Linked DNA regions of Tamandua tetradactyla. The protein of the gene in region 1 purifies or fractionates together with the protein of each later gene. This does not show direct contact. Links are inferred from orthologs where the notes say so. Each region holds a gene or a part of one and is shown in the gene's direction. Other genes may lie near its edges. The genes, in order: MED4, MED12L, POLR2B and GIT1.

Evidence for each region.
Region 2: the proteins of MED4 (region 1) and MED12L purify together in Homo sapiens (affinity purification with mass spectrometry; 3 studies listed by BioGRID and IntAct, with this or other methods). This does not show direct contact. The link is inferred for Tamandua tetradactyla from reciprocal best matches to the Homo sapiens genes MED4 and MED12L.
Region 3: the proteins of MED4 (region 1) and POLR2B purify together in Homo sapiens (affinity purification with mass spectrometry; 3 studies listed by BioGRID and IntAct, with this or other methods). This does not show direct contact. The link is inferred for Tamandua tetradactyla from reciprocal best matches to the Homo sapiens genes MED4 and POLR2B.
Region 4: the proteins of MED4 (region 1) and GIT1 purify together in Homo sapiens (affinity purification with mass spectrometry; 3 studies listed by BioGRID and IntAct, with this or other methods). This does not show direct contact. The link is inferred for Tamandua tetradactyla from reciprocal best matches to the Homo sapiens genes MED4 and GIT1.

The regions. Positions count from the first base shown.
Region 1 is NC_135330.1:110,209,645-110,217,127, forward strand, and holds the start of MED4 (mediator of RNA polymerase II transcription subunit 4), read left to right. Parts: upstream 1-4,480; 5' UTR 4,481-4,520; coding exon 4,521-4,645; intron 4,646-4,674; exon of another isoform or gene 4,675-5,125; intron 5,126-5,139; exon of another isoform or gene 5,140-5,304; intron 5,305-7,483. UniProt on the Homo sapiens protein: Component of the Mediator complex, a coactivator involved in the regulated transcription of nearly all RNA polymerase II-dependent genes.
Region 2 is NC_135331.1:44,633,729-44,640,977, forward strand, and holds the start of MED12L (mediator of RNA polymerase II transcription subunit 12-like protein), read left to right. Parts: upstream 1-4,243; 5' UTR 4,244-4,479; intron 4,480-5,330; 5' UTR 5,331-5,459; coding exon 5,460-5,558; intron 5,559-7,249. UniProt on the Homo sapiens protein: May be a component of the Mediator complex, a coactivator involved in the regulated transcription of nearly all RNA polymerase II-dependent genes.
Region 3 is NC_135345.1:57,601,046-57,608,008, forward strand, and holds the start of POLR2B (DNA-directed RNA polymerase II subunit RPB2), read left to right. Parts: upstream 1-3,955; 5' UTR 3,956-4,076; coding exon 4,077-4,095; intron 4,096-6,963. Other genes in the region: NOA1 (nitric oxide-associated protein 1), read right to left, coding at 326-531, 1,083-1,247, 2,173-3,322. UniProt on the Homo sapiens protein: Catalytic core component of RNA polymerase II (Pol II), a DNA-dependent RNA polymerase which synthesizes mRNA precursors and many functional non-coding RNAs using the four ribonucleoside triphosphates as substrates.
Region 4 is NC_135332.1:52,835,449-52,843,216, reverse strand, and holds the start of GIT1 (ARF GTPase-activating protein GIT1), read left to right. Parts: upstream 1-4,762; 5' UTR 4,763-4,840; coding exon 4,841-4,892; intron 4,893-7,768. UniProt on the Homo sapiens protein: GTPase-activating protein for ADP ribosylation factor family members, including ARF1.

The DNA.
Region 1 (7,483 bases):
TATTTGCTTCAGCAGCCTAGGAAACTAAAAGAGAATCTAATTCAGGATTTTTACTCATTCATACTAGACTCTTTCCATCTAAATAAGGAAACTGGTAAGATATTTAATGGATGGCTCCTTTCTGATATTGATTCCTTACTGGAGTTTCTCCCTTCTCTCCCCTGCCAATCTTCTTGCTTCACCTGCAACACTTAGCTCTTATGAGTTTCTGCCTCTATCTCCTCAAAGAAGCATTGTCAACTGCTGTCTTGTTCACCTTTATAGCGCCAGCCTTCAGTGTGGTACCTGGTATAAAAACAGAGCTTAATAAACACTGTTGAAAGAATAAATGAATCTATCAAAAGAGGCCAGTGATGATGCCCACCTTTCCTTTGAGTACTGAGAGGTGGCAAGTTTCCAAGGAAGCCTAGAGAATTTCAGGGAAGAGATAAGACTTTACTTTTAGAAAGCCTGATTAGTTCTACATGACCTTTTCCACTGCAACCACACCACAAATATTTAAAGGCAATGAAAGGTTCAACCTAAACTGTTTTTCCTCTCAAGGCACAAGAATGTAGGGAGTCAATGTCAAATGCCACACTTCCTGCAAGGCTAATGACTTTAATAACATTGAGTGATTTTGGACAATGGGTGGTTTTTGTTGTGTTGTGACTTTGGAATGAGGAAGATAGGAGTATTCTGATGAAGATTTCACAGTGTAAGGAGGACAGGAAACTTCTACTGATGTAGTGCTGCCCTATTTGGATTTAACTGAGATGATCTGGTTTATTAAGTGCAGTTAAAATGGCACATTTTGAGACATTCTTGAGATTGATTTAAAAGTTGGTTTTCCTTCCCTAAAAGCCATCAGTTTGCTCAAACCCAACCACTGGTGGCATTTCCAGAGGTGTTTTATGGTTTCAGAAACCATAAATGGTGGTTCTTGGTATTAGAGCTTCATCCTAAATTGTGTAATATTTTTTACTAGGGATTAGACTTTCTGAGACCCAGACTTTGAGGTGGAGTCTAAAGGTTTTTTGTTTCTTGGAGAGGGAAGCTAATGAACGCAACAGCCTGCTTGTCTTCTCTCATTGCCCAGACTTCTGGGAGAGGAATGCCTGTGACTGATTCTCCATCCCACCCTTGGCAGGCTTGATCTTGAACATGAGCCTACAAATTTACTTAGGGAACTGGCTGTGAGAAAAGCATTCAGAACAGAAGAGGCTTGGATTCTTTACATAGACTAAAGTCTATGTTTCTTTAGTTGCATGGCTCCCAGGAAAATGGCTGCCACATGGCTGCAGAATATTCCATATTTGGTTGAGGAAGTTATAAATATTTGGAGTTTTTGAGAATCTTCAAGGAGCATGTGGAAAGGAAATATTGAGAATAAAGTTTTGCTGTTCAGAGGCAAAAATACAGATCATTATAATTTTTTTATTGTCTTTTATTCCTATTTGAGTCTGGCTTTTGGTGATCTCAGCACCACAGTCAACAATAAATCCAATGATATTTATTAGTGCCTACTTGTGTCAGTCATCATTCTAGACACTGGAAATGTGTCAGTAAGCCAAAGAGACAAAGTACTCTGCCCTCTTGGAGCTTACATATAACGGAAGACATAATTAGCAAAACCGTATCAACTTAACTGTATAGGATGTTAGAAGATGATAAGCATGATGGGAAAAAAGTAAAAAGGAATAAACATGATGGAATGTGGTAGTCAGACTGCAATAGTAAATAGGGTGGGCATCTTTGATGAAATAAGATTTGAGGAAGTCTTGGAGGAAGTGAGGAAGTTGACCATGTGGCCTTCTGGGGCCAATGGATTGTACTTCCATGTACATTTCCTATGAAAAAGGCTATTCACTTATGTAGCCACCTTAAATGCAGTTATCAAGTTCAAGAAATTTAGCGTTGATAAAAAGCTTACACTCTGCATGCCAATTTTTTCTTATGCCCCAGTAATGACCTTCTGAGCCTTTTTCCTCCATTCTTGGATCCTGTCCACATTTAGGATTGCATTTCATTTTCATTATCTAAACTTGAGCTTTAGGAGAATCACTCTGTCTGCAGCTGAGAACAGTTAGGAGACAACTTCAGCAAATGAGGTCGAGAGATGAGGAGGTATAGACCTGGTAGCAGTGGAAAGGGTGGAAAGCCAAGTCCTGGACACATTCTGAAGGCAGAACCATCTTGATCTCCTGAAGGATTGGACGTGGTGAATGGTTAATTAAAAAAAAAAAAAAAAAAAAAAGGAGAGGAGTCAAGGATAACTATAAGGTTATGAATCTTAATAGATTAAGAAAATGCTTAGCATCCAAAGTTACCATTAACTCAGTAAATGAAAGCTTTATGAAATAACATGTATTTTATTTATCACACCTAGAGCTGCATATTTTGCAAAAAAGTTCATTTGTAGAAGATGTTATTACTTCTCAGAAAGTTGGCAATGCTCAGAGTGCATATGAATTTGCAATAAATATGAGATGCTTTAGAGTTCACAATAAACATATAATCACCATAAACTGACCCTCGATGCATAGTAAATGTATAGTAAAGTAGGACCTATAATTGGTCATTTTTAACCATTTGGAACTCTCCCAGAATTTATGTGGGAACTTATATTAATAAGATCTCCCCTCTAGGGCTCACCAGTATCACAGACCAAAATTTTCCTTTCAGAGTTAAGTAAACAAAATCACCATACTACAAGAGTTTGGCACCTTTAACTTAACGCAAGAAATTACTTACTGGAGATTCTGGGAGGCATGCTTAGAATGCTACTGCAATTAAGAAAGCTTACATCTAATTTATTCTATTGCCTGAAGTTGGGGGATGGTCCGAACACAAAAGGTGGGAGTCCCTCTCCTGAACTCTCTAGGGAAGGAGCCATGCTACCAATTAACACAAATATTACAGTCTCTTAAACACTAAATATCTTTACACTGGGGAGATACAAAACCTGTTGAAAGCATTCATCAAGATCCAACTGTCTTCATTTGTTTCCACCTGTTCTAGTTTGCTAACTGCCAGAATGCAATATACCAGAAACAGAATGGCTTTTAAAGGGGGGAAATTTATTAGGTTGCCAGTTTACAGTTCTAAGGCTGTGAAAATGTCCCAATTAAAGCAAGTCTATAAAAATGTCCAAATTAAGGCACCAACAAGAGGTTACCTTCACTCAAGAAAGGCTGACGAAGTTCAGGGTTTCTCTCTCAACTGGAAAGGCCTATGGTGAACAGGGCGACATCTGCTAGCTTTCTCTCCAGGTTTCTTGTTTCAGAAGTTTCTCCTGGACATTTTCCTTCTTCATCTTCAAAGGTCTCTGGCTGCATGGGCTCTCGTGCTTCTCGTGGCTCTGAAGCTTTTTGCAAAATGTTTCCTCTTTTAAAGGAGTCTAGTAAACAAATCAAGACCCAGCTGGAATAGATGGGTAATACCCATCTAATCAAAGGGTAATACCCACAATTGGGTGTGTCATATCTCCATAGAAATAATCTAACCAAGATTCTAACCTACAGTGCTGAATAGGGATTAAAAGAAATGGCTGGTCCACAAGATGGATCAGGATTAAAACATGGCTTTTGTATGGTACACAATCCTTTCAAACTGGCACACATCCAAGGTCATGAACCAGCATTCTGGGGGATGATTTGGTTTCCCGTGTAGGATTCTCTAAGGCGTTATTATTTTTCCCGATAAGTAAATAAATTGGCATTCTGGTTTATACCGCAATTACTAGCGAGAGAATTTATTTAGCATCAATCCCCAAAGGAAGCATCACTTCTGGGTGCACAGTGCCAGTCAGGTTCAGTACTTCCAAAAGGACGGGCCATGATCCTGCAAATACTCCAGCCTTACTCTCAGAAGTCTTCAGGTGACATCTCTATGACAGGGACCTGGTATGGGGTCCTCACTCCCCAAACTGTTGCAGCTTTAAGCTTCCCTGGTAGGAAAATCCCCTTTTCCACAGTTGTCTCCAGGAGAGGTGAGCTACTTGAGACTTAAGTGGGCAAAAGTGGATTTTCGGCTTTGGCTTTGGGTTCTGATTGAGCTCACCGGATGTGTGATCCAATTCTTCATGTAAACGGTTCTCATTAACCACTACTGACATATTATACTAATTCATTCTACTCAACAGCCATCTCAAGAAATCCTTAGGAGCCCAGCCTCTGCGGAAACAGCCTCCTCGAAAGGCAAGGATGGAGGGTTAGAAGAGCATTATAGGCATGCAGATTTCACGAGTAAACTGACACAAGCAGTAGGCGATTATTTAATTTCCATTCAGCCAAAATCTCCAGCTCCCGATGGAAAAACCCTACGTACTCTCACTAAGGTACCGCTCTGGCCGGTCGGGTTTGGACCAAGGATCCCCTCTGGTCCAGCAGATGGCGCCAAAACCCACAGTGTACTTCCGGGCACCTTGGGGACGCTCTGGTCAGGACTCTCCCTCGCCTCGCCTCGGTGACCTTTCCTTCCGCCTCCCGAGCTCGTCATTTCCGACGCTCGCATGCGCCGGCTACTGGCGGTTGGGGAGGATGGCGGCCTCTTCGAGTTTGGAGAAGGAGAAGGATCGATTCGGAGGCGGCCCGGGAGCGGCCAGCGGAAACAGCACGCGGGAGCGGCTGTTTTCGGCGCTGGAAGATCTGGAGGTCTTGTCGAGGTAAAGCCGCTGGCCTGAAGGCCGGTGGAGTAGGGCCGGGAGGGTGGACCCCGGAGCTGGGCAACCCCGCGATGAGCTTCTTGGAGTTCGGCGGGAAGGGTCGTGCTCGGGCAACGCCGGCACGTACCCCCAACGACAGTGCACCAGTATCCGCGATGTGGCCTCCGCAACCCTCCCGGGATCCGAGGCCGCGCTTTTCCCCATCAGCGCATATGAATAATGACAATAACTCTGGAATCCCAAGGCTACGATAGCCATATTGGGTCTTGGACATCACCCGGTCCTCCAACACCCAACAAGCATTTATGGAACGCCCCCTGGGTGCCAGGCGATAGGAAGGCTGTAGTGAACGGGAGTCTGGTTACCATCCTGGAGGAGCTCAGTGTCAAGAGGGAGAGGCAAACGTGTGAACAGCGACTTCGATGCGGAGCTTGTTTTTATCAGAGGCGTGGCTGCGGGCTCCTGTAGCATAAGGACCAGGTCTGCTCCGATGCCTAGGTAGTCAGAGAAGACTCCCTGGAGAAAGGGCTGCTCAGGACGGAGTTCAGTAGGCTCACCGGGCGGCGGGATGATGGAAGAGCAAGTACAAAGGCGCGACTTGCTGGTGTAATTAATTCCAAGTTGTTTGGGGTGGATGTAGTGCAGCGTGTGGCCTAGAGGTAGGAGATTGTCTTTCTCCATGTTCTGTCACCCTTAATGGTACTGTAAAGTTGGAGCCTTCCGTAATCCAGTCACATTCACTTGGGTGTTAAATTGTATTGTTTCTATCTCCTGAAATGTTGCTCAGATTTGCTCTCATTTCCATCCCCGCTGTCACAACTATTTTTTAAGGTATCCTCCCGACAGCTTTACTTGCCTTCATGCTTCTGCACTTTATTCTGTATTGCCCAAGAGCAGAGTTATCGTTCTGAAATAGGCATCTCTTGTGACTTCTTATCTTAAAAACATTTGATGGGTTTGTTCCCATTGTCCGATGAGGTAAAGTCCAGGTTCCTTAGTTTAGTGTGCAAGTAGGTGTGTTGTAAGGTTCTTTATATAGATAGCCAGGAATAGCAGGACAAGTGATAACTAGAGATGTTTGAAAGAAGAGTTTATTAGTCCTTAAAAGTCCTGGAATAGAGAGGAGTGGCATGACTTGCAGGCTCACATGGGAGAACATGTCAGGAATGTATGCTCAACCAAGCAGGTGCGTAGCAAAGGTTACAGTGGACCTGAGACTGTGCATTTGTGATGTTATAGGGGCAGAGCTCTAGCGATTAGTCAAGAAAGAGCAGGGATTGGGGAGTTTGTATTTGACTTTTGCAGGGGTATGAACCCGGGGAAGAGAGGGAGAAGCTGTTTATCTTATATAAATAGGTGTCAGGACTGTTCACTGACAGTGTGTAAAGTCCCTATTTTCTTTTAATTCACTCTGTGCAGTCCTTCCCTATCTCCTCTCAATCCACTCTGTTATCCTCCTGTACCACCACATCAGTCTATACCCTTCACTCCAAGATTAGTACTCCCCACCCTCAAAAAGTACTACTTACTCAACTTCACTGCCATTCTCCATCTCCTACTTGGTGAATCATTCATTCGTCTTTCAGAATCCAGCTCGTGTCATCTTTTCTGTAGCCAACATTTGTTGATAGCTCTAGAATAAATTTTACGTATTGTGTTTTGAAATATACCTAACTAAATTGCTGTAAATTTAGTTCTTGCCATCATATTACTTACCAAGTTACTAGGTTAGCCTGATATTAAATATATAAGAAAAACCTCAAACACATGGACACCAGTATTTGTCCTTATGTAGCTTATGTGTTTAATTCAGTGTTTAGTTTGTATTAAACTCGAATACTGCCTGATGGCAAACAATGTTGGAATCTTCATTTGTGGTCAGTGGTGAATGAAAAACTCATAAGCACAGGCAGCTGTCTTAATGTTTTGCCTTGGTGTAAATGTTTACGCATTTTAATGTAAGTGCTATTTCTGTCTAGGTCTTTGCTGGTTTTGTAGATTGTGGTGGAGAACTTAACAGTTTCCTTGTTAATCCTCTTGAATGAAGACCCACGTTATTTCTTAGGAAAAGGACACTAACAAGATTGAGAGTTGGTAGTATAATGTTTCCAGTTAAATTATTTATGACTCAGAACTGTATAAGGTAACTGTTTTGGGGACAGCAAATAGAAGCTTCGTTTAGTTCACATTGTGCTCTTTTTCTTTTTAAGTTATTAAACTCTAAATCATCCCACAAATGCTCTTCATTTGAAAAACTCAGTTTTCTCAACCTCAGCACAGCTCTGTGTAGATGTAACTTTAAACTCATTGCTGGAGCAAACTAAGTCTCTTAAATACTTTGATACAAATGTTGTTCTGATACAAATCTGAATTCCATTTGATTCAGAACAACTAATACTTAGCTGGAAAATACTTCTTTTGCTTCTGTCTAAACCAGTTCTTCCAGTTTCTTGAATTCTGGATCTCATTCTGCTTGAACTATGGCTTTTGAGCTATTTCTTCTGTGAGCATTCTAACCTGAAAGTTGACTTCAAGCAACTGTGCTTAGGAATCTTGATGGTACTGTTAAGTTTGAAATTCATGGAGTTAAAGTGTCCTTTTTTTTAAAATCAGTTTTATGGTATGGATGGTACCAATGAACTTTTCTGTAAATATATTATCTTGGTAGTGGCACTCCTCCAGGAAATAGTTGCCGCTGCCTCTTGTTCTGAGTAGGTCTTCATCTTAGATCTTCAAATCTTTGCCTTTTCGGTTCATTCAATGAATGGGCTGTTACTTCTCACTGTTATGCTCTAGAGCCCTGTAAATTCTTTACTTTTCTGAGCTTTACTTGGTGTA
Region 2 (7,249 bases), on another chromosome or scaffold:
AATATCAGGAGTTCTCCAGGTTGGGAAGTTTAATAGTTTCACACTTTTCTCCAGTCCCTTAAGGGGACTTCGCAATTTTTTTTTCTGCCCAAAATACATTAGAATGCATCAGGGTATTACCTTAACCTGTACAGAATAACAAGATTTCACTCCCTATTCTAGGTTCCATGTAATTATGATGTTTAAATAAACTGATTAGACAGGTTAAATTAGATAGTGTATTTCAGAAAATTTAAATTTTGGACTAAATAGACATCTCTTCCTTTGGTCTCACATGGAAGTTGAGGTTTTAAAACACAGACAATATCATTTTTTTACACTGTATTCTGCTTTACCTTAATCCTAACCAGGTCCATTTCTTTAATATATTTAATTGAGGTCTTTTGATCTCTTTTTCAGCTTACCAGTTGGGGTATGGAGTAATGCTGACTATCAGAGCTGCAGAACTCTATGTCTGAGTCTCTAGTATCACACAGATACCCCAATTCCAGGGAACTACCAGGTTATATACAAAGAGCATAGCATCTCAGAATTTAGAAATAACAGCTAAAACTCAGGAACAGATGTGACTGCTATACGATCTCACTTTCTAGGAACCTTTACAATGAACCTTACTGAACCTTCTGTACTCCTTAATCATTCTCTGCCCAAGTTGTATCCCCTGATAACCTATGATCTCAGATTCAATTCTTAGGGTTTGCTCGTTATAGTTAGTTTATATTAGAGACCATACCATATTTGTCCTTTCATTTGTCTTATTTCACTCAACATAATATCCTCAAGAATTATTTTACCTAATTGCATGCCTCACGATTCCATTCCTTTCTGCCGCCACTCCATATTCTGTCGTATGTATACCCCACAGTATGTCCTTCTCTTCACCAGTCGATGTATTCTTAGGCTACCTCCATCCATTGCAAGCTACGAATAATGCCACCATTAATACCAGTGTACAAATGTCTACTCCTGTCCCTGCTTTCAGGTTTTCCGAGTATATACCTAATAATGTGGTTGCAGGATCATATGGCAACTCTATACTTAGCTACTTCTGTGGAGCCACCACACTGCCCTCCAGAGGGGCTGCACCTTTCTACTTCTCCACCAACAGTGAATAGGTATCTCTCTCTCTCTCCACACTTTCTCCAGTACTTGTACCTTGTGTTTATTTTTTACACAGTTTTATTCACCAACAAACAATCCATCCTAAGTGTACAATCAATGGCTCCCAGTATTATCACATAGTTATGTATTTCCATTTCTCCCCCTAAGAAAGAAGAGGAGAGAGAGAGAGAGAAAAAAAGGAGAAACATCAACAATAAGAATTCCATATCCCCCCACCATAACCTCCTTTTATTGGCATTTAGCTTTGGTTTATTTCCTTTGTTACAATTAATGAAAGCATATTACAATGTTACTGTTAGCTATAGACCTCAGTTTGGATTAATTGTATTTTTTCCATATACCATCCCATTTTTAACACCTTGCAATGGTGACATTCATTTGTTCTCTCTCATATAGAAGCTTTCTTATATTTGTATATTTAATTACCATCCTTGGCCACTCTAGATTTTGCTAAGTTATAGAGTCCCAGTTTTTGTGCTCTCTCTTTCCTTCTTGTGTCCTATGTGCCCCTAGCCTACCACTTTTCCATACAGAATCTTAACGCTATCAGGAATAGGAGATGGATAGCTCAAGAAGAATCACCTGCGATTTCCATGCTGCAAATAGGGGTAAGTGCTAACTGGGGCAAAGGGGAAGGAGAAAGAATGAGTTTGGTAGGTAGAGGTGGACTGCAAAGATCCCAAATGTAAGGGCAAGGAAGGAACCAAATGTCTATGGGAAATCTATGTAGTGAAAGAATGATTTTGGAGGAGGCTTATCAATTAAAGCTGTTCTGAGGACCTCACAACATCCTACTTATCGCTACCTCCAGTAACAAGAATTACTGTCCCTGGGTCTGAGGCCCACACCAATCAGTGCTCTGAGAGAACTGAGACTTTTCTGGCCAATGAGGGGGTACAGTGAGCAACAAGGCACTTTCAGAAATAGGCCTGATGACTATTATACAGATGACCTGTAACAACAGCATGAAAACAGAATCGGTCATATGGTACCTTAGGACGCATGCCCCTGAATGAGACACCATCATAGCTGACAGGTGACGAAGCAGACACTGGGTTATAACATAACCTGACTTGTGTACATTCTTCTTCAAGTCAAGAGAGGCAAGACTGATTTGATAGGACCAGGGGCAAAGGTTCCAAGACCTTTCCCTTCCAAGCTTCTGGTGACTGTGGAATCTGAGGGGGATTTTCAATAAATAGCTTGATGTACCCACCTGTTCCCTTGGCAGAAACCCACTTTCCCTCGTCTTTGTTTTAATGCCATGTGTGGCACAGAATTATGCAGAACCCTGTTTTAGTGCAAGCACTTTCTTCCCACTTGTAACTCGTAAATACAGAGCATGTGTGGTGTTAGAGCCTCAAGGGTTTTGGAAGGGAAAAGGGGAGAAGGTGGTGCTTTAGGAAAGAGGATTTTCAAGGTAGGTATTTCAGTCATTACTATTTTTTTTATCCCATTGTATTGTATGCATTTCTTTTGGCCCTCTCACTCCTTTTTTTTTGGAATGAGGCTGTGCAAAATATTAAGCACAGACTTTATGTGTCTTAAAAATAAAACAGGTGCAGTCACGAAGATAGAGGAACCAAGACAAAATAGGGGAGGACCTTGGGAGAATTAGCTGTAACCATAACTTAGATTGACAAACAGCAGATTTGAGTGGGGCTAGTAACAACAAGTCCTTACTTAGTGTTAGTGATCAGATGTTTAGTAACCAGATGTTTAGGAAACCTCTCAGGGATGTAACCGAAATTCATTCACCCGTGAGTCTGCCAGCGTGTTGGGTCTTGGGGAGAGTGGCAAAACTTTGATAACTGCTGTGGCTGGATAATGAGTTCTTGCGGGTTCATTATACTATGCCCTCTACTCTTTGGTACATTTGATCATTTTCCTAACAAGGTTATATTATATGTCCTTTCTTTCAAGCAAGAGCTAGACTGATAACATAAAGGCAAGTTCAACCAACCATTATGCTGCACTCACAGTATGAGTGGAACAGAAGCCCCTGGAGTAGGGTGTTCAGGAAGTGCTTCCTGATGGCGGTTCATTGTGTCTATAAATTCCTGCTCAGATTGAGTTAGGAAGCCCAAAACTACAGGTCTGATTTAGCCTCAGGTATAGGTTCAAGTGTTTAGGACTCAAGGTCAGGACGGAGGAACTAGCTGCTAGCAGGGTGTCATCTCCTTATCTACTTCCTTCTTTCCCCTTTGTTTGAAGTCAGCAGAGGTAAGCAGATATTCGGTACATCCAACATTTCCTGGGCATCTACAATGTGCAGCTGCCGCACAAATGCTTAGATTCTGCCTGGACCATTTTATAGGGGAGGGAAATGGGAGTCCGAGAAATTCCTCAAGTTGTGATGAACGCGACACAATCGGGCACCTGCGCGCCAGGAAACTCCGGGGAGAATAGATCAGAAACTTGGGATCAGGCAGAGGTAAATTCAAATCACGACTAGCTTCGAGGCTTTCAGCAAGTCACTTGACCTCCCTTGAACCGACTTCATTTCTCCATCTATTAAAAGGGTACAGGAAATCCTGTAAGTTGTGCAGTTTATCGAGCTTGACTGTCAAAATCCCGGCAAGAAGAGAGGGCTCCATAAATGGCAGCCATCATTCTTCTCGGCCAAGTGCGGGTGCATCCTCCGGGGCGCGCCTCCCGCGGGCTCCCCCGGGACACGCTGGGCCCGCCCCCGCGGCGGCCTCGCAGTGCTCGCGGCAGGTGGCCCAGCATCCTGGCGCCCACGCCCCAAACAAGCGGGGAGTGCGGGTGGGTGGGACGATCGAGATCTCTCCTAGACTATCCGCTGCCCCTCCCTCTACGCGCCCGGCGCAGGTGAGGTTTCCAGCCGGGGCCAAGGGGACAGCGACCTCTGGAGAGGTCGAGGCGGAGAGCGCAGCTTGCGGCCCGGAGTGCGGTGCTGGGGACGCCCCCTCCCTTGCCCGGCTTCACCCCAGGGCCATCCCCGGCGCTTGGGCCCGCAGGCTGCGCGCTCTGCGGCTGCGAAAACCCGGAGAGGCGGATCGGAGCGCGCTCCCAGCGCTGGCAGCCAACTCCTCCGCGGTCCGGCAGCCGAGCTGGGCATGCTCAGTGCGGCCGCCGCGCTGCCGTCCGCCAACTAGGAAGCTCGCGCTCCCGGGCTGTGGGGGCGAGAACGCCGGCGGCTGCGAGCCGGCGTCGTCCGCCGCCCCCAGACAGTGGCAAACTTCGTGGCGTCCCCGGAGCTCGCCTGGACTAGACTTGATACCTTACAAATAAAATAAAATCGAGTTCCCTAATCCTAACCCGAATCATGGAGGCTGCGGCCGCCAGAGTGCCCCCGCCGCCGCCGGCCCCTGCCCGCTAGCCAGTGACCAACAGGTAAACTGTTGGGGGGTGGGGGTGGAGGAGCTGCGGCCGGGGGGGAGGGCGGCGGGCTGGAGGAGCCCGAGACGCCCGCAGTCTGTCAGCCCCGATCTGCGCTCGCTGCCGCCCCTCTCGACCCGCCCCCAACCCGCCTCTGGAGGGTCAACAAAGGGTTAAGTCGGCCCCGCGCCACAGAGAGCACGGCCGGCTCCAGCCGCCGCTGCCGCCGCGACCACCAGCAGCGCGTCTCGGCGCCTGCCCGGAGCCGCGGAAGGGACCCGAGTCGCGGATGCGCCACCGGAGCCCAGCGGGAGTCTAGGAGGCACCGGCCGCTCCTCAGCTGCCCGCAGCCCTCCTCCAACCCCTCTAGGCCTCCCTCCCTCCGCACCGGCCGGGTCCGCGCCCAGGTGGCGGGGTCTGCAGGGCGCGCGGCGGCGGGGGAAGGGTCCTTGAGGCGAAAGAGGGATGGGGGCGGGCCGCTCCGCCGTCCCCTCCCTGGGGAGACGGGCCCCTTTGCCTTGGGCGAGCACTTGAGCCACCCGCTTAGTCGCCAAGAAAAGTTTTTTTTTCCTCCCCGCGCCCCTCCCCCACCCCCACCCAGGGCCCAGCTGGCGTGGGTTTGGGTCCATTGGTGAAAAAAGTCACACGTTCCCATCAGCTGCTCCTCCCCCTAGGGACGGGGCGGGGGCGGGAGGCGGGCGCCGCGGAGGACCCAGGCAGACCTCCTGGTACCTCCGCCGCCTCCGCCGGAGCGCCGCGTCCCGGGGCCCGAGCGCAGCCAGGTGCCCGCCGAAGCCTGCCCCCATCAGTGCATGTCTGCGTGTCGGGCAGCGGCAGCATCCAACCTGCTTTATTCCTGCCTGCAGCGCCACAGCGAGTGAACGAGCAAGGAGGGGGAGAGAGGGAGTCTGTCTGCAAAGTGCTGCTCCCTGGTGCTCAGAGGCGGCTGCTCCAGCTCCAACTCTCATTCATTTCGCCGGTTAACATGAGAGATCATGGCCGCCTTCGGGCTTCTCAGCTATGAGCAGAGACCGCTGAAGCGCCCCCGGCTTGGGCCGCCCGACGTCTATCCCCAGGACCCCAAGCAGAAGGAGGTGAGGACGTTGTCGGCCTCCCCGGCACCCGGGGCCGCGCTCTGCAGCGCTGACCCGGGGCCAAGTTGGCCCAGCGGGCATCGTCGGCGCTACGGGGGAGGGGTCGTGGAGGGGGGGCTGGAGGCGGGGGCCGGCCTGGGTCCCCCGCGGCGGAGACCCAGCGGCAGTCAGTCCCTGCGCTCCACTGGGGCGCTCGCTTTCCCGGTGTCGGGTCGCTTCCCGGTTATCGGGCCTTGCACCGCGCCGCTGGGTGCTTCACGGGGTTTTTCATTGCTGAAACCCTCCTACTCGCTCTCCCCCGCTCCTGCCTGCTTTATTCCCCCCCAGCCGCTTCGGTAAATCCTCGTAAACTTTTTGAAAAATGTTGGAATGCAGTGCATCCGACGCCGAGGTCTTGCGTTTTGCGCCAGTTGAGCCGAGAAGTGGAGAGGGGGAGGTGATGGTCGGGAGCATCTTTTCTCGTCTCAGATTTTCCAGTTTGGAATGGAAGTCGTTCTTGTCGGGGTGATAAATAATTTAGCTTTCTGAATATACTTTTGCACCCCCTCTCCCCTTTAAAAATCAATATTTAGGAGAAACACTGATTTTCGTCTCCAGAGGCGATTGGATTAATTGCTGAGGCTGTTTTATGTATGTGAAAGGAGGGAGATTACCTTGGAAGGGAATAAGTCCAGGATTGCTTATTCCTTTGAATGAAATTAATTGGAGAAACCTTGACACTTGCACCAGGTACCACTAGCTTCAGTGGCGAGGGTAACCATGGCATTTTGTAGTCATGTATGTGTTTGTCAAGAGTTAACAAGTACTTATGTAACAACTCTCCAGTTATAATGATCACCCTTGGCTACACGATTTGCCCAGGGACTTGCCTTTTTTTTTTTTTTTTAAGATCACCTGCTCCCCAGCTGTACTACAGAATTTGTCAGCTGCAGCCCACGTATTCTCTGCCCTCTTCATCTAAACAGGAGCTGACCACATTTCAGAACTTATCTTTTTGGAGATCTAAATTTCTCTATTAAAAGTTTACAGGGCCACCATGTAATGGAAAGGGTCTTGCAAATAAGGTGAGGAGGGGTCCTTAAGACTTCCCTTTGATAAATGTGTATATTTTGATATTAGAGGAAGAATGCTTGTTCTGGTTAAGCTGTTTTATTAATAATATGTCTGAAAAATAAGGAGGGACAACTCTTTTTAGAGGTTTCACACATTAAATATGTTTGAGCATCAGTAGAGTAGTGCAGATTGAAGCTGGGGAGGTTTCCCAGGTGTTTCCCAGGAGAGGCTCATCGTGAGGACAGGTGAGTTTGAAGTTCTGCAGCTTTCTTCCCCACTCAGTTCTGTCCATGCATCCCTGCACCAGAATAATGTGGATTGCTGAGGACCAAGAGTAGAGAAAAGTTCCAAAGAGTGCTCATTTACCAAAGGGTAATAACTTAAGAATTGTTGTTAGCAAATCCTTAAAGGTTTGGTGGGGACAGAAGCATTTGTTGGCTGATCTCTAGCGTCTCATAATTGATATCTTGCTACATCTTTCCACAGTTGTCATAACTGGTGACACCTCCCCAGTTATGAGATGGTGGCTTGCGATGCCAAGTGGGCCTCTTTGGCATTTCATTATTTTGGGCCACACTCAAGTCAGGATTGGGACCGCTGCGATTCTTGAAATAATAATTTTGAATTTCAGGGTCTTA
Region 3 (6,963 bases), on another chromosome or scaffold:
ATAAAGGGAATTCAAGCATGGAATAAGTAGTTGAACTGCAGCAGTAATGTCTGAGATTTCCTTCCAACCTCAAAGGTCTAGGATTCTGTAAATGTCTCTTAACCAACATTAACACCCACAATGATAATGCAAATAGGTTGTCAGCAGTGAAGTCTACCAAATATAATGCAGTACTAGAAGGTATATGGAGTCATCTGTGAATTGCTTCTATGAATGAATCAGAACTGAGTCTAAAATGAAAGTATAGTCCCTTTTCTTGTTTCTGCCAATTAATACAGTACTTACACAATGACAGTTAATATTTCTAAAACAAACCAATACATACACAATTTTCCTTTGTAATTCCAGGAGTATCATAAAACCAGTGGGAATCTTTCACATCTTGTGGGGTCAATTCTACTTTTTTGGTGGATTTTTCTGCAACCAGAACAGGTTCATTTTCCATGTCAACGGCAAGTGAATCAGCATCAAACTCAAAGGCAGCTTCATCCGTCTTTTCTTTTGAGTATAGGAATGTTTTTCCAACTCTTCCTGGAATAAGTTATCAGGTGCTCCTTTAAAACTTTTGACTCCAGACAGTTTTTTGCTTGTTTCAAATAAATTACTAACTACAGCAAATGGAAACAATGCTATCTTTGTAACAAAGCATGAGAGTTACACTGTTGCAATGATCAAGTGTGTGTCTGGCTGGGCACACATGGGGGGTGGGGGAAGGTTGGAAATCAAACTTTTTAATAAAGGAAGGCTGAAAAGGGATACCAAGGAAAGGGGACAGCTCAGTTTTTAAGCTGCTGCATGAAATGAACAGTCTTTACTATCTGTAACGGTCTACCTGGCAGAGGGAATAGCTTGGGGAAAATGCTTCTACCACTGACATTGTCTAGGTGGACAGTTATTGCATGCTTCCTTTCCTGGACTTCTCTAAGTATCACAATCTCCATTTTCACAGATTACTGAACTTCCAAAAAGTAGCCATGCTTTAAAAGGGCTCTAAGTTCTAATGACCAGACAGCTGTATTTCAGGTTGCTCAACAAAGAATTTTGGCATAGAACCATTACGTTTTCCTGTGGAAGATGCTTACCTACTATATAACCATGCTTTTTCAAGATATTAAGTTGACTTTGTTCTTGCTTAGTAAGAGCTTCTTCAGATTCAGCCGCATCTTTTTTAAGCCTCTTGTGCCTTTCAAACATTCTGTAAGGAGTTGGGTTGCAAATAGGAAACCTAAGAAGGTTTAATGTAGTACCTGAAATACCAAAGAATAAGTATGTTTTTATAAACATTGTACCAAAAAAGGGAGTAAAAGGAGGAAAACTATCAGTTTTGAGGAGCTACACTGTGTTCTATCTTAATCAACCCTTGATATGACCCTCTATAAAATTATTTTCATTTTAGAGATGAGGAAACAGTCTCAGAGACTGGATCATAGCCTAGACTAGGATTTGAATTCTAGTTCCTGTAGGCTTAAATTTTTTCCATTTTCACCATGCTACCATTCAGTACAAAAGCACGTCTATGTATAATGCAACTAAAGTGTAAGCAAGATAGGGAAGAAAAACAGTTTACCAAACAAAATTAAACTGATTTCAAAGGAATAAACGGGGCAGCTAGTAACACTAAAGAGTCAACTGTTAAATACAAACATGGTCACAGAAGGAGCCATTTACAGAAACTTCTGTGACAAAGTAGACATTTCTTCTCAACAAAGCCACATATATTGCATTAGTGAATTACTCAAATGTTAAACATGCATAGCATACTTTCTCATGAATAAACTCAAGACGTGGGGAGTAGGATTGCAGAGTGAAAGGAAGTTCATGGAGTAAAAGGAAGCACGACTTTTGGGAGGAACATAAAACTAGAAGGCTATAAGGGAAACGTCCAAGAGGGTAGGACGTTTCCTGGCGTATCGCCATTTCCTAGAACAGCGACTGACACAAAGAAGTGCTCCATAAGTATTTCCACTAGAAAATTAGTAAAAAAATATATAGTATCTCCAAGCACTAAACTGACTCAGAAAAGAGACTAGTGTCCTAAGGAGAGAATTTTAAAAGGAAAGATTCCAGGCACCCCCTGGTGGACATTATACAGAGATGTAATCGGAGCCTCGGGCCACCACCAGACATCCGTCTTCTCAGAGAGCGAAAAAGGCCGAGGCTCTTAAGGCTCACCTGGCCATGGGGAGATGGTAGCTCTGTCGATGGCCTCCGCGCCCTTGGCGGTGCAGTAGTCCGACTCCAGGAGTGTGTTGAAGAGAGTGGACTTGCCGGCGTTGGTGCCGCCGACCAGGTAGACATCGCCGCGGTAGCGCCAAGAGCGCTGAAGCGCGGTGATCAACTCTTCCACCCCGTAACCGGTCTTGGCGCTGATCAGCCGCACGTCCCTGAGCACCGTACGGTGCTGGGACGGCGGATTCCGTTTCTCCGCCAGCTCCCGAGACCCATTTCTGCCCGGGTCCTGTGGCCCCTGGTGGCTAGGGGATGGCCGGAGCCCGGCGCGGACACAGTCATCCCAAAGACGATCGCGGAGCCGACGACGGTAGCCCGGGGTGTCTTGGGGCAGCAGGTCCACCTTGTTCCCCAGCACGATCAGCTGCTTGGGGCCCACCATCGCAGGCAGGTCGGGCAGCAGGGCATCGGGCAGGTCCAGCAGATCTACCATGTAGAGCACCAAGGAGGGCCCGGGTCGCCGCAGTGCGGCGCTCACCAGCTCCAGGTACTGCTCGCGGCTCACCTGCACGCGCAGGGCGCGCTGGTGGTGCACCAGTAGCCAGCAGCGCTGGCACACCGTCCGCGCTAGCCCGCCGTCCTCCTGCGCCGCTGCACTGAGGAACTTCTCGCTGGGCAGGTAGCCAGGCACGCTGGGATCCTGGCAATGTAACTCCGCTCCACAGCCCGAGCAGCTCACGCCGCTGGACGGCACCGCCGGGTCTGGATGCCCCATTATCTGGTGCTCCCGACATCTGGCCCGTACCTTCTGCAGCTGCCGCTGCTCCCGCCGCCGTTGCCTCTGCCGCTCCTCCTCCTCCTGCCGCTGCCGTAGCTCCTCCAGCAGCTCTTCGGAGGTCGGTGCGGGCTTTGACTCCAGGATGTACTCGGGGAACAGAAAACGCTCCTCCAAGTCGGGACTTCCACCATAGTCCCGAGTCGCCGTCGGGCCACGAGGAAACTCACGTCCCAGGTTGGAGAAGTGCTGGAAGAAGGAAGCGGCCGTACATCCCCTCCCGAGAAGGGGCTCCGGGAGGCCATGGCGCACTACCACGGGAGCCGATCCCCACAGTAAAGGCCACAGAACTCGGCGCGTTAGAAACGCGGGCAGCATGAGGAACACCGCCCTCCGGCAAAGAGGCGGAGACACGTGCGCACACGCGCACTGGGGCCGGGAGACGAGCTCCTGCTGGTGCCTGGGAGTGGTCACTTGTCACCTGCCTCATCCGGTTCTTCTTTCCACGTCTCATCCCGTGAATTCTCGCGATTGGAGCGCTCTGCTGCAATTGCACCAAGGCCCTAAATAGAAACCTAGACCGGCAGAAGATGATAATGAGCGCTTTGGTTTGTTCATTAAGCTTCTTCAGTGCGCCTCCGCCGGCAAGCCCCTTTCTCCCCTTAGTAAATCACATTTTTGAAAAGCTTAGTGATTTTTGGATTTCAGGAGTGCAAAAAAATAGAAGTGCGGACTCACGGGTCACAATTAAAATCTTTTATTAATAAATCTTTTTGGTTTTTTTGCAGGAGCAAAAAAATGTAACAACAGTGAAAAAACAAAAATCTTCCCAGATATCTTTTGCTGACCGGATCCGACAGGCAAACTACAGTCAGAACTAGCAATCAGCCACGGCGCCATCGGTTTACAATTTGCGCATGCGCAAATTTAACCCCGGACAACCTTACGCTACTATTTGCGCAGACTCAATCCTACAGTTGACTTCTCGTGGGAGGGTTTTAGGTGTAAAACGCAGAGTATTCTGGGAACGTCCCAGACGGAAGTCGTATGGTTTGTGTCTCTGGTTTGCTGCTGCTGCGCTGCATTCTCTCTCAGATTTCTAGAGTTAAGAGCTCGGGAACCGGTTGCCAAAATGTATGACGCGGATGAGGGTAGGTGACCACTCAAAATACGCTTCACGGTGACCCATTTAGGGAGGGAAATTTGGGGAATTGGGTGGATAGAGGATTTGCGGCCTCCCCTCGCCCACTGCACGAGTGGTTTCAGTCATGCTTCCCTACCCCCGCAGGCCGGGAGCGAAGAACATACTGCGTGGGATGGAAGATGCGGGGAAATAGCGTTGATGGTCTCCATACAGTTGGCTCTTATATTTCCCCTATCTCTATTATCTGTGCTGTTAATTCTGATGTCTCCTTACCGTATTGCAAAAGCGTACGGAATCGTTAAGACAAGTTCGTTGTTTTAACGAGGTCTGAAGCAAAGGGCCCCCTTTTTTATTTTTTGGGTTCACAGTTGTCCTGTTTATTGCGTAGTTCAAATTTTGAGCATCGGTTTTGTGCCAGGCATTGAGCTAGGCCCTGAAAATACACCGGAGACAAAGAATGCAGCAGGGGAAGAGATTGCATCTAGTTTGGCCTACCTTCATGTTTTCTTAAGTCTAAATTGTCTTCAAAAAATTACTTTTAAACTTTCTTCTCCCACAAGATGACACAGTTCTAAGATGGTTCAATATATCTTATTTTCTTTTCACTTATATATTTCTTAGTGTATCTTCATGTTGTGTTTTTAAACCTTCCTCTTCCGTTTCTACAGCTGCTATTTCATACTTCATTCTCTTCGAATTTACCATCCCATGGCCACCCCTCACTCTTTTTTCGTTCCTTTAGCTACTTCTCGGAGAAAATAGAAGCAAAAGCTTAAAATACTGCTCTGACTTCTCTGTCTCATTACATCTTTTATCTAGAAATTTATTAGCATTACATTCCTTTATTCTCTTAATTCCTGTTTCAGTGGGAATAAATTTTTAAAGAAGTTTTTTATCTTATTTTTAAGTAGGTAATATATTTTATGGCTCGCAAGTCAGAAAATACAAAAATGTTGAATGTCAGGATTCATTCTTGTTTATCATGTGTCCACAATAGATTAACAAATGTTCTTAGATTCTTATCGCTTTCCAGTGTATCTTATACATATCCAAGCAAAAATAAATGGGATTCTGTATTTTTCTCCCTTTTACAGGCAAAAAGTAGCACTCACACTTTTCTGTACTTTTTTGTTTGCTTGCTTAATACAGCTAGGAGATTTAAATATCAATAGATAGAAAGCTTTCTCCTTTTATTTTTCTCTACAGCAGCTTACTTTGTGTGGATGTACCATAACTCAAGTCTTTTGCTGATGGGCAGTCCTTTTCTAGTTCAAAGATGTTGTAATGAATAATCTTGTACTTATGTCATTTGTATGTCTGTAGTCTGTAAGGTAACGTATGTCTGTAAGATAAACTCCTACATGTGAAATTGATGTATCAAATGATACATATATTTAACATTTTGATAGATGGTGCCAAATGACCGCCATACCTGAGTACTCCCATCTGCCTCCCCAAAATTCTAGAAGTGGTACTGCAATAACGAGGTAGTCACATGGAAAAAAAATGAAATGTGACCCCCACTACACAGCATACAAAAAAAAAAAAGACGAACATAGTGGTTGTACTAATTTAGTTTCCCAGTGGCAATTTAACTTTTTTAAAAAAAATTAAGCTTATCCTGTCAAGTCTTTGCTCTGGCATCAAGTCTACATTCCATTCCTTTGAAATATTTATTAGATATCCCTTCATCAGTTTTCAGGAATTTCTTTTCACTAGCTTCTTTTTATGAGAAAATATCAGAGCTTTCTCATCCTCAGGAAACCGTTTAAGCCCTCTTTCCATCATTTCCTTTTTCTTCCAAAATTTTGCCTTTCTCCTTCCATTCATAGCTAAGCTTCTAGAAGGAATAGGCTATACATGTTGCTTCTAATTCACGTGGTTCATTTTCTCCTCAACCCTTTGCAGTCGGATTCTGCTCATGCCACTATATTAAAACAGCTCTTAATAGGATAAACAGTGACTTGTCAGTTGATAAATTAGATGAACATTTAAAAAAATATATTTTTACAGTAAAAGCTTAACATACAAATATATATTCTTTGACATAAAAACATACCATACATGGTGTACAATCAATGGCTCATAATATCATCTCACAGTTGTATGTATGTTCATCACCATGATCATTTTTTGAACATCTGCATCACCCCAGCAAAAGAAATGAAAAGAAAAAAGATAACACTCAAACATCCCTCACCCCCCTCTCATTGACCACTAGTGTTACCATCTACCCAATTTATTTTACCCTTTGTCCCCCCCATTATTTATTTATTTATTTTTAATCCATATTTTTTACTCATCTATCCATACCCTGGATATGAGGAGCATCAGACACAAGGTTCTCACAATCACACAGTCACATTATAAATGTTATGTGAACATTTTTAAAACTTCATCTTGAACACTGTGGCATTTGGCATAGTTGTTGACTTTGTCCTGGAAACTCACTCCTCCTTTTGCCATGTCACTTTCGCTTGATTCTTCTTACCTTGCAGACTTTTCTTTTCATTCTCTTCTGTTCACATTCATAGCCACTCTTTCTCCTTGAGGGTTCTGTCTGTTAAGTATGTCAAATCTGGTCATTTCTCTCCTATCCACTCTGTCACAGTTGTGGTTCAGACCACTACCGTCACTTGCCTAGATCACTTCCCCAGACTGGTTTCTCTACCTCCAGTCTTACATCTCCTATCCACTTTCCACATTGTGGCCATAATGGCATAATATCCTTTCCAAAATGAAAGCCTGATAATGCCACACCCCTGCTAGTTTGGTTCCTCAGAACTCTTGATAATGACCAACCCTCCTTACCACTTCCAACTTCCAGTTCAGTGATTTAGCTACATTAACCTTCTTTCATTCCTTGGGTGTGCTA
Region 4 (7,768 bases), on another chromosome or scaffold:
ACAAGTCCCTTACGAGCCTGGCCAAAAGGGTCCCCCTTTCTGCATTCCTCCTTCCTATCGGGGTCTCGCAGCTCCAGGGACTCTGCCCAGTCACGAGAAAATAAGAGAAAGCGCTCACCATAAGGATAGCAAGCCCTGGGTGGGGCTGGGATGCCTGGGAGTGTCACACAGCCTATTCCTTGATCCTTGACCTGTGACCCCCCTCCTCACCCAGGCCTTTCCCACCTCCGCATGGCCACACTCATGCGGGAGGTGTCCCTGTTCGGCAGAATGGGGAGGATTCTCCACCACATGGAATCCAGACCGATCCGGCAGCCCCTCCCCGCAGCCCTCACTGGCCCGGGGGAGGAGGGGCACAGTGTCCCCTGTCCCAATCTAGGAGGGTCCGGAACACTTGAGGGTCGCCAGTCCCGGCCGGAGGGGGCGGGGGGGGGGCCGCTCCCATCAACCTCTCGCGGTCAACAAACACAAAAGCCGCGGCCGCGAACAAAGAATCTCTAACTCGCCGGGGAGGCGGGACAGCCCGCGCCGCGCCCCCTCCCCACGCCGGGCGGGCGTGCCCAGCCGCGGGGTCCCCGCGGCGTCCCGACGACGCTCTTACCTGGCCGGCGCGGACCTCTTTCTCCAGCTCGCGGTGGCGGTTGTGCCACACGAGGTAGTGCAGCGGATACTTGCCCTCGGGCCCCTTTCTGGCGGAGGCGCTGGCGGGGATCATCGCCCGCTCCTCATGCCGGGGCCGCGGCGCCCGGCCGGGGAGGAGGGACGGCGCCGGAGCCGGGGCCCGGGGCCGTGGGGCGGGGGGGGCGGCGCTCCCTGCTTGCAGGGCTGCGGCTCGGGCATGTGCGAGCGGCGCCGGCGGGCGGGGGCGGCGCACCCGGCGCGGTGCGGGCGGCGGGCGTCCTCGCGAAGCGGTCGCGGCGGCGACGGGCGGCGCGGAGAGGCCCCCACCCGCCCGGGGAGGGAGCGGGCACTCGGCGGCGCGGCGCGGGCTCGCGCCTCGCCTCCCACTCCCCCGCACACAAAGACGCGGCTCGGCGGAGGGAGCAGGCGCCCGCACTGGGCGCGGGGGCGCACTGGGAGCCGGCCCCCGGACGCCGCTGCCGCCGCGCCAGGGACGCGGGCCCGCAGCCCTCCGCTCCCCACAGCTGCATAGCCCGGCCCTATGCCCGAGCGGTCGGCTTGGGCTGCGGGGCTGCGGGGAAAAGAGGAGGGGGACCCGGGTGCCCCGGGCAGAGCCTCTTCTAGTCCGGCCCCGCGGCATCATGGGGCTTGTAGTCCGCCTCGTGGAGCTGGAAATGGCAGGTGGTGGAAAGGGTCCAGCGCGCTCTTTCTGTTCCCTAGAAATGGTGAGGAAGGAGTCGGATCTGGCCGAAACGGAGGAGTGTCTTGATGCCAGGTGGCCTGGGAAGCATCCCCCACCCGTTTGCATTTTGCCCTTTGCTGCAGAATATGGGGGGGTACAGACCCATCTTGAGCATTGGGGGACAGCAGGGGGAGGGAATGTGGCCTTCAGGGTCCTAGGATCCTAGGGGACGTGAGGAGGGATCCAGACTCCCAAAAAGTGGCCGAAAGGGAAATCCCTAAGAAAGGTGTGGGGTATCAGTACCAAGAGTTATTGGAGCAGCCAGACGCCCGACATCTGAAGTATTCTGAGGAGTCCAACCTTTCCTCTTAGAATATTAAATATTTGACGGGGTGGCGGGGAGTGAAGGCTCACTGGGGCGAGGAGGACAGTCCCTTCCAATGCACTGTCCTTAAGTAGAACCAGAGTGGGTTTGAGCAGGGAAAGCAGCAGGTGGCAGCTCCGCAGCCTGGGTGGCCCCCTCAGGAGAGGAAGTGACTGATTTCAGAGACTGAATGACCCCTCGGCAGAGAGGCCCTGCCAGAAGGGACCTCGGAGAGGGTGTGGTAAGTGTGGAATTGATTGCCCTCCGGGGCTCCCTGTTGCTAGAGCTGGAAGGACCTAGAGGCCCAACCCAAGGAGGTTCAGCCCAAGAACTGTGCTGTGAGACAGAACTGAGTTCGAATTCAAACGCCTAAATATGTGACCATAGGTAAATTGCTTAAATTTTCTGCATTTCTGGAACCACTTACCTCTAAAATGTGACTCTGGATATTACGTCTTTAGGTGATCTCAGGATATTATGGTCCTCGAATCGGTGCCCCTCCCTCCCCCATCCAGGCGGACACCAGAAGCAGGTGGCCTTCTGGAGTCCACCTTAGAATAAGGCAGAAAGAAGGGATTCCACTCCCTCTTAGAACAACTATGGAAGAAGTGTTTGTGTGTGGGAGGTGCCAGCAAATGCTTGTAAACTCTCCGCTCCTCTCTCAGGCTTTTTTGTGTGGTCTTTCCTTCCTCCTCCACACCCTGCGGTGCCAGACCCCGGTGGGAAGGGATGAGGGAGGAGCGAACTGCCGCGCCCCTTTCTCTAGGCTGGGAGGAGCCAGCTAGCGTCTCCGGCCGCTGGGGACCGCTGCCCTCCTACACCACCAGAGGTCAGCAGAGTGTCGTGCCTGCGGCCGGAGATGGGGAGGGGGCTGCTGAGGGGGAGGGGCGGCTAGGAGTGGCCGGGTAGATTCTTGTACATTTTCTCATTAAATTATTTTTAGAATCTTGTGTGTGATTTCCTTTTAGTTTAGCAGTCCTTCATCCTGGAGTGGCAGCATCTCCACAGAGAAATCAAGTCCTTTTATTCCTAGCCCCAAATCCAGAAATTCGGCCGCGGAGGGGCCGGGGGCTTCTGTAACAAAGTTTGGGGAATGGGATCCGTGCCTGGGTCAATTCCAGGTAGTCCACCGGCCAACCTGGAGATGAGGCTGGAATAGGGGTGAATCATCCTCCTGCAAAGCCCGGGAGCACAGGGCGGTAGCCTGGGGTAGGGGTGGGTAGGGTTAGGGGTAGAGGGGCTCAGCCTGGAGCGGGGCAGCCTACCCCAGGCGGCCAGAGACACCAAACCGTCCTGAGCGCTGTGGCTGCCACGTGCTCGAGACGCTCCCACACAGCAGAGAAACAAAGACAGCCAAACGACCCGGCTGCCAGAAGCTGCCTTGACATTTAATAAATGAAATTCCAGAGCTGGGGGGGGGGTCGATTCGGGGTGAACGGACGGGCACCACTCGTGGGCTGCTCGCAGGATCCGGGCGACCACGCAGCACCTCCTATCACCATCAAAGCCGTGGACTCTGAGCCCGCGCGGTACGGGGCCGCAGGTGGTGCACCCCTCCTTTCCCCCAACCCCCGCCTGCGAGATATCTTTGCTGGCAGAAGTCCCGGCAGCTGAGCGGCTGGCTGCCTATAGGGGGAAGGGAGGCTTGCAAGAGATTCTTTTAAGGTGCGATTTTAAATATACCCTGTGGATCGCGATTTCAAGCAAACTTGTCAATCTAGGCTGCCGCAAAAAGCGATGGAGGCAGCTTTGCATATATTTCGGGTGGTGACTCATGAGAATTACTTGTCTCCCCAGGGAAGCAGCCTGCCCACCCACAAATCACTGCCGGCACTGGTGCCACTGGGAAAAATCGACCAACTCTGGCACCCCGGCCCAAGGAACACCCCCTCCACCTCCACCCCAGTTAATGAGAAGGACTCCCTGTTGCTTGGGGAATGTTCCCTTAACCTTGCGCCCCAGACCTGGCCCTCAAGCCTAGTCCTGAGCACCTCTGCCCTCTCTCCCCACACCTCTTGCCACTGGAGGGATGGGAGCTGGATGCAAGCTGGGCACAGTGTATGGGGGAGCATGGTCAGTGACGGGGTTCGCCCACGTGTGGCCTGCACTTTCACTCCATGGGCCTCGGCCTGTCTGCACAGCATCCGTGTGAAGTCCAGAAAGAGGCAATCACAAGAAACTGGCCCCATATGTTATATGCACGCTCTGGACTCACACCTCTAGTGGCCCAGAGACAAGGTGGATATACATAAAACAAATGACAAGTAGAGATTTCTGCACACCAGCCGGGTGGTCCCCTCCTCTGTCGGTCTTTAAGAACCACCCAGTTTCTTTCCTCTGAATGGAAGCATGGTGAGGCAAGATTTATTCTTTAGCCCGGAGGCAGCGGGTTACCTTGCGGACCCTCTCTGGCACCTGGGGGGTCTACACTGTGAGCAGGTGTGCGTACTCAGTAAGAGTGTGACCAAACACTCTGGCGTGGGCATCTGGTGGCCCAGAACGCATCCCTCATTCCCCCAAAAGAGAACTGTCACAGCCCTTTGACAGGGAGGAGGACCTCGGCCTCCATCTCCTTCCTTCTCTTTCCTGATTTCACCCAACCCCCGACTCACCATCCCCAGCTCTCAGCAGCCCCTGAGCCACCCCTAGCCCCAAAAGTGGAGGGGTTAGGGCTGTGAAGGTGACTTACACTGCCTCCGGGCTTGGGGAGCACCGGAGCAGAGACTCGGCCCCAGGCGACGCTGTGCGCCAGCGGCCGTGCCGCGATTGCGGCCCCTTTAAGCGCCCCCCCCCCACGCCCGCGCTCCCGGCTTCCTTTCTCCCGGAGGCGCGGCGGGCGGGGCGGGGATGCAGTTGCCCCTCCCCCGGTGGGCAGGGCCTGTGCTGCTTCCTGCCGGAGCGGCCCGGAGCCGCGTAGGGGGCGGAGAGAGCGAGCGGAGAGCGGCGGCGGGGCGGCGCGGGGCCGCGCGGGGCGGAGGGCGCCCGAGGGCGAGCGGGCAGGCGGGCGCCGCGGGTTCCGGGCCGGCCCCGGGGGCGGACGGTTGGCCAGGCGCGCTGAGCCTAGCCGGGGCCTTGCCGGAGCCGGGCCGGGCAGCAGGGGCCGCCGCCTCCCGGGCCCGCCGCCCGCGCCCCCCACGCTGGCCCAGAGGGCTGCGGCCGCTTCGCCGCTGAGGATGTCCCGGAAGGGGCCGCGAGCGGAGGTGTGTGCGGACTGCAGCGCTCCGGGTAAGCGCGGCCGGGCCGGGGGCGGGACCATGCACCGGGGCCGCCGCCGGGCAGGCGCCGGGGCCTGGCTGTAGCGCCGTGCGGGGCCGGAGGGCGGGGCGGGGTGCTGCGGCCTCCGGCCTCGGCTCCCACCAGGGCCACTGCGGAGCCGCGTCCTTGGCGGGAGGAGCGGCCTGGGGTCCCCGGGCCCCTCGCGTCCGTGGACTAGCGAGGAAGGGCATTCCCGGCGACTCCTCCCACCCTTCGGTCTGAGGGAGGCGAGCAGCTAGCTCCCCCACCCCCCCACCTCCATCTCAGTATCCAAACGGAAGCGCCAGCCTGGGATGGCAGGATGGCTGTGGCAGAGGCCGGAGGGTTTAGGAGGTGGGGGCGAGTGTGGTTTTGTCATCTCTGTTCCACCTCCGCGTCCTGCACCTGCTGCTTGTATGGTCTGTGCGCCTGCGGGGTTAGCGGAGGGCAAAGGGCAGAGAGCTGGGCAGATGCGTTGGGGCCTGGATACTGTTTTCTTGGAAGCAGATACCTACTCATACGATGTCCTGCCTCCAGTTCCTAAGGAATCTCCGGGGCCTGCTGGAGATTGGGAACAGATAACCTCAGCTTTTCCTGCTCTCCGGTGAGGCCTGCTTGGGAAAGCAGGCCTGACACTAGTGCCTGGGCCCGGACCCCTCCCGGTCCCCTGGCCCACCTAGTCCGAGCAGAATCAGGTAGGGGGGCAGTGGCAAGAGGTGCCCAGATTTCCTGGATTAAGCTGACTTCCTGGCCTGCCCCCTGGCAGTATATACTCTGGTGTTTCCCTTCCCTTCAGGGTCAGGTTCGGCTGGTGTGAATCCCCCTGGCCTGATGAGGAAGTGATGGACAGTGACCTGAGAGGCGCCTCCTGTCATGTGGGAGGACACTGCCTGTGAGGGGCTGCTAGCAGCTGGCTTGAGGAAGGAAGCTTGACCCTTGTCCATGTTCTCTTTAGAAAATGGGCAGGCTCTTTCTCGAGGAAATCCCTGGGCAGACTCAGGGGGGCAGGTCTGTGAACCCCTGGTGCTATGTGGGCACAATTAAGTGTGAGGGTGTAAAGTCCTGTTTTATGGGCCCATAGCGTTCAGCCATCCCTTGGACAGGCCCAGATTCCAACAGGTTCAGCCCCACAGATGCGCCGGTGGTTCTGGTGTGTGTGTTTGGGAATGGTGGGTGTGTTCCCGGCAGAGACATGGACACAGGGTGCTTTGTGGGTAGTTATGACATGCTTTGTAGGGCCCTGCAGGAGCTGGGAGGGGGGTGCTCTCTCCCCTTATTGGCTGGCAACCATGACCGTCTTTCCCCAACCACTGGCAGACCTGGGGATAGAAACTTGTCTTTTGTCTGTCCCAGGCTGTTCTGCATCTCTGCTGGGTGGGTATAGACTGGGCGGGAGGCCTGGAGACAGCAAGGAGGGCTGTGGGGTCTGAGCAAACACCCAGTAATGGAAGCTTGGATCTTAGTGTTGCTTTTGCTTCCAGCTTACTCTGACCCATGGCAAGACTTCCCTCACTCTGGGCCTTAGTTTCCACAACTGGAAGGCAAAGAAGTTGGCTTAGAAATGGTATTTGAGGGCCCTCCTCCCTTCTCCGAATCCGTGGTCCTAACTGAGCAGAGGGGCTTAGGGCAGCATCAGCATGGCAGCTGTACTGTATTGCACACTTGGCATGCCTGAGGCCTCTGGGTGCCCAGTGGGCTGGATGAGGTGGGTGCACGTCTGTTGTGTTGGAGTGCCCAGCTTCTATTCTATCCCCAGTCCTTGTCCAACACAGGGATTCGTGCCCTGGTTACCTTCTTTTCTTCTGATCCAGAATACAGGTCAGGAAGAGGCAGGCGATGAGACGGGTAAAGATGGCGAGGTGGGCAGGGTGTTGACAGAGCCTTTGTTGTCACTTCACCCCAGCACCTGTGTGGTTTCTGGCACACACAGGTGCTTCCCAAGTGCTTGGAGGCTTGTGTAGACCTCAGCTGGTGGCTTGGGGCTTCCCCGTCCCCCCCACCCTGTGACGCTGGCCCTGGCATGAGGGACCATTCTCAGTCAGGGTTCTGTATCAGCCCAGGGAAGAGGGGTGAGGATATCAATGTGGAATCCGCACCAGAAACCACCCCCTCACTATGATAGGGGTCCTGCACCATTAGTCTTGGAGATGGGGTTGTGGTCTTCTTGTGTTTGTTTAATTTGGGGGGATCTTGGAGGTGAAAAGTGAGGTACAGTGTAAGAGTCCAGACAGCGCAATGCTCCCAGGCCTGGGTACGCAGGGGACAAGTGTGAGTATGTGGTGAGGCAGTTGAACGTGGTATGACTGCTGGGCCACCTTGTCTGGTGCCATCTGTGTCCCTGCCTGCCCTTGGGAGTGCGAAAGAGGGGCAGGGATCTGGGACCCCCTCTCCTCTGCCCACCCTGCCACACACCCAGCCTTTAGAGGCTGGGGACAGCTCTCCAGGGTCTGCTTCTCAGCCCAGAGACCCTCCATCTCACACTTTCCGCTTTGGCAGCCCCAGGCACAGGAGTGAAGACCCCGGGGTGCCCCTGCTGTAGGTGCTGCCAGCCTTGAACATGTTACAAGAGAGCTTGCGGGTTCATTTGTCTCTTCATAACATGGCCGGAGGGGTGGGGTGAATGGTGGGCTTTTCTTTTTTAATCAAGGTGTAACGGATATGGTAAAGTGCCTTAAGCGTTCAGCCTGCAGAATTTTACCCGCCTTTAGACCTGTATAACCAGCACTCCCATCGAGACATTGCGCATTTCCAGCTCCCCAGTGCCTTGTGCCCCCCAAAAGGTAACCTCCCTTCTGGCCTATATCCCTATGGTGACTTTAACCTCTTTCCGGATGGTGGGCTTTGCCCTCTTGTCCAGCAGGTTACTT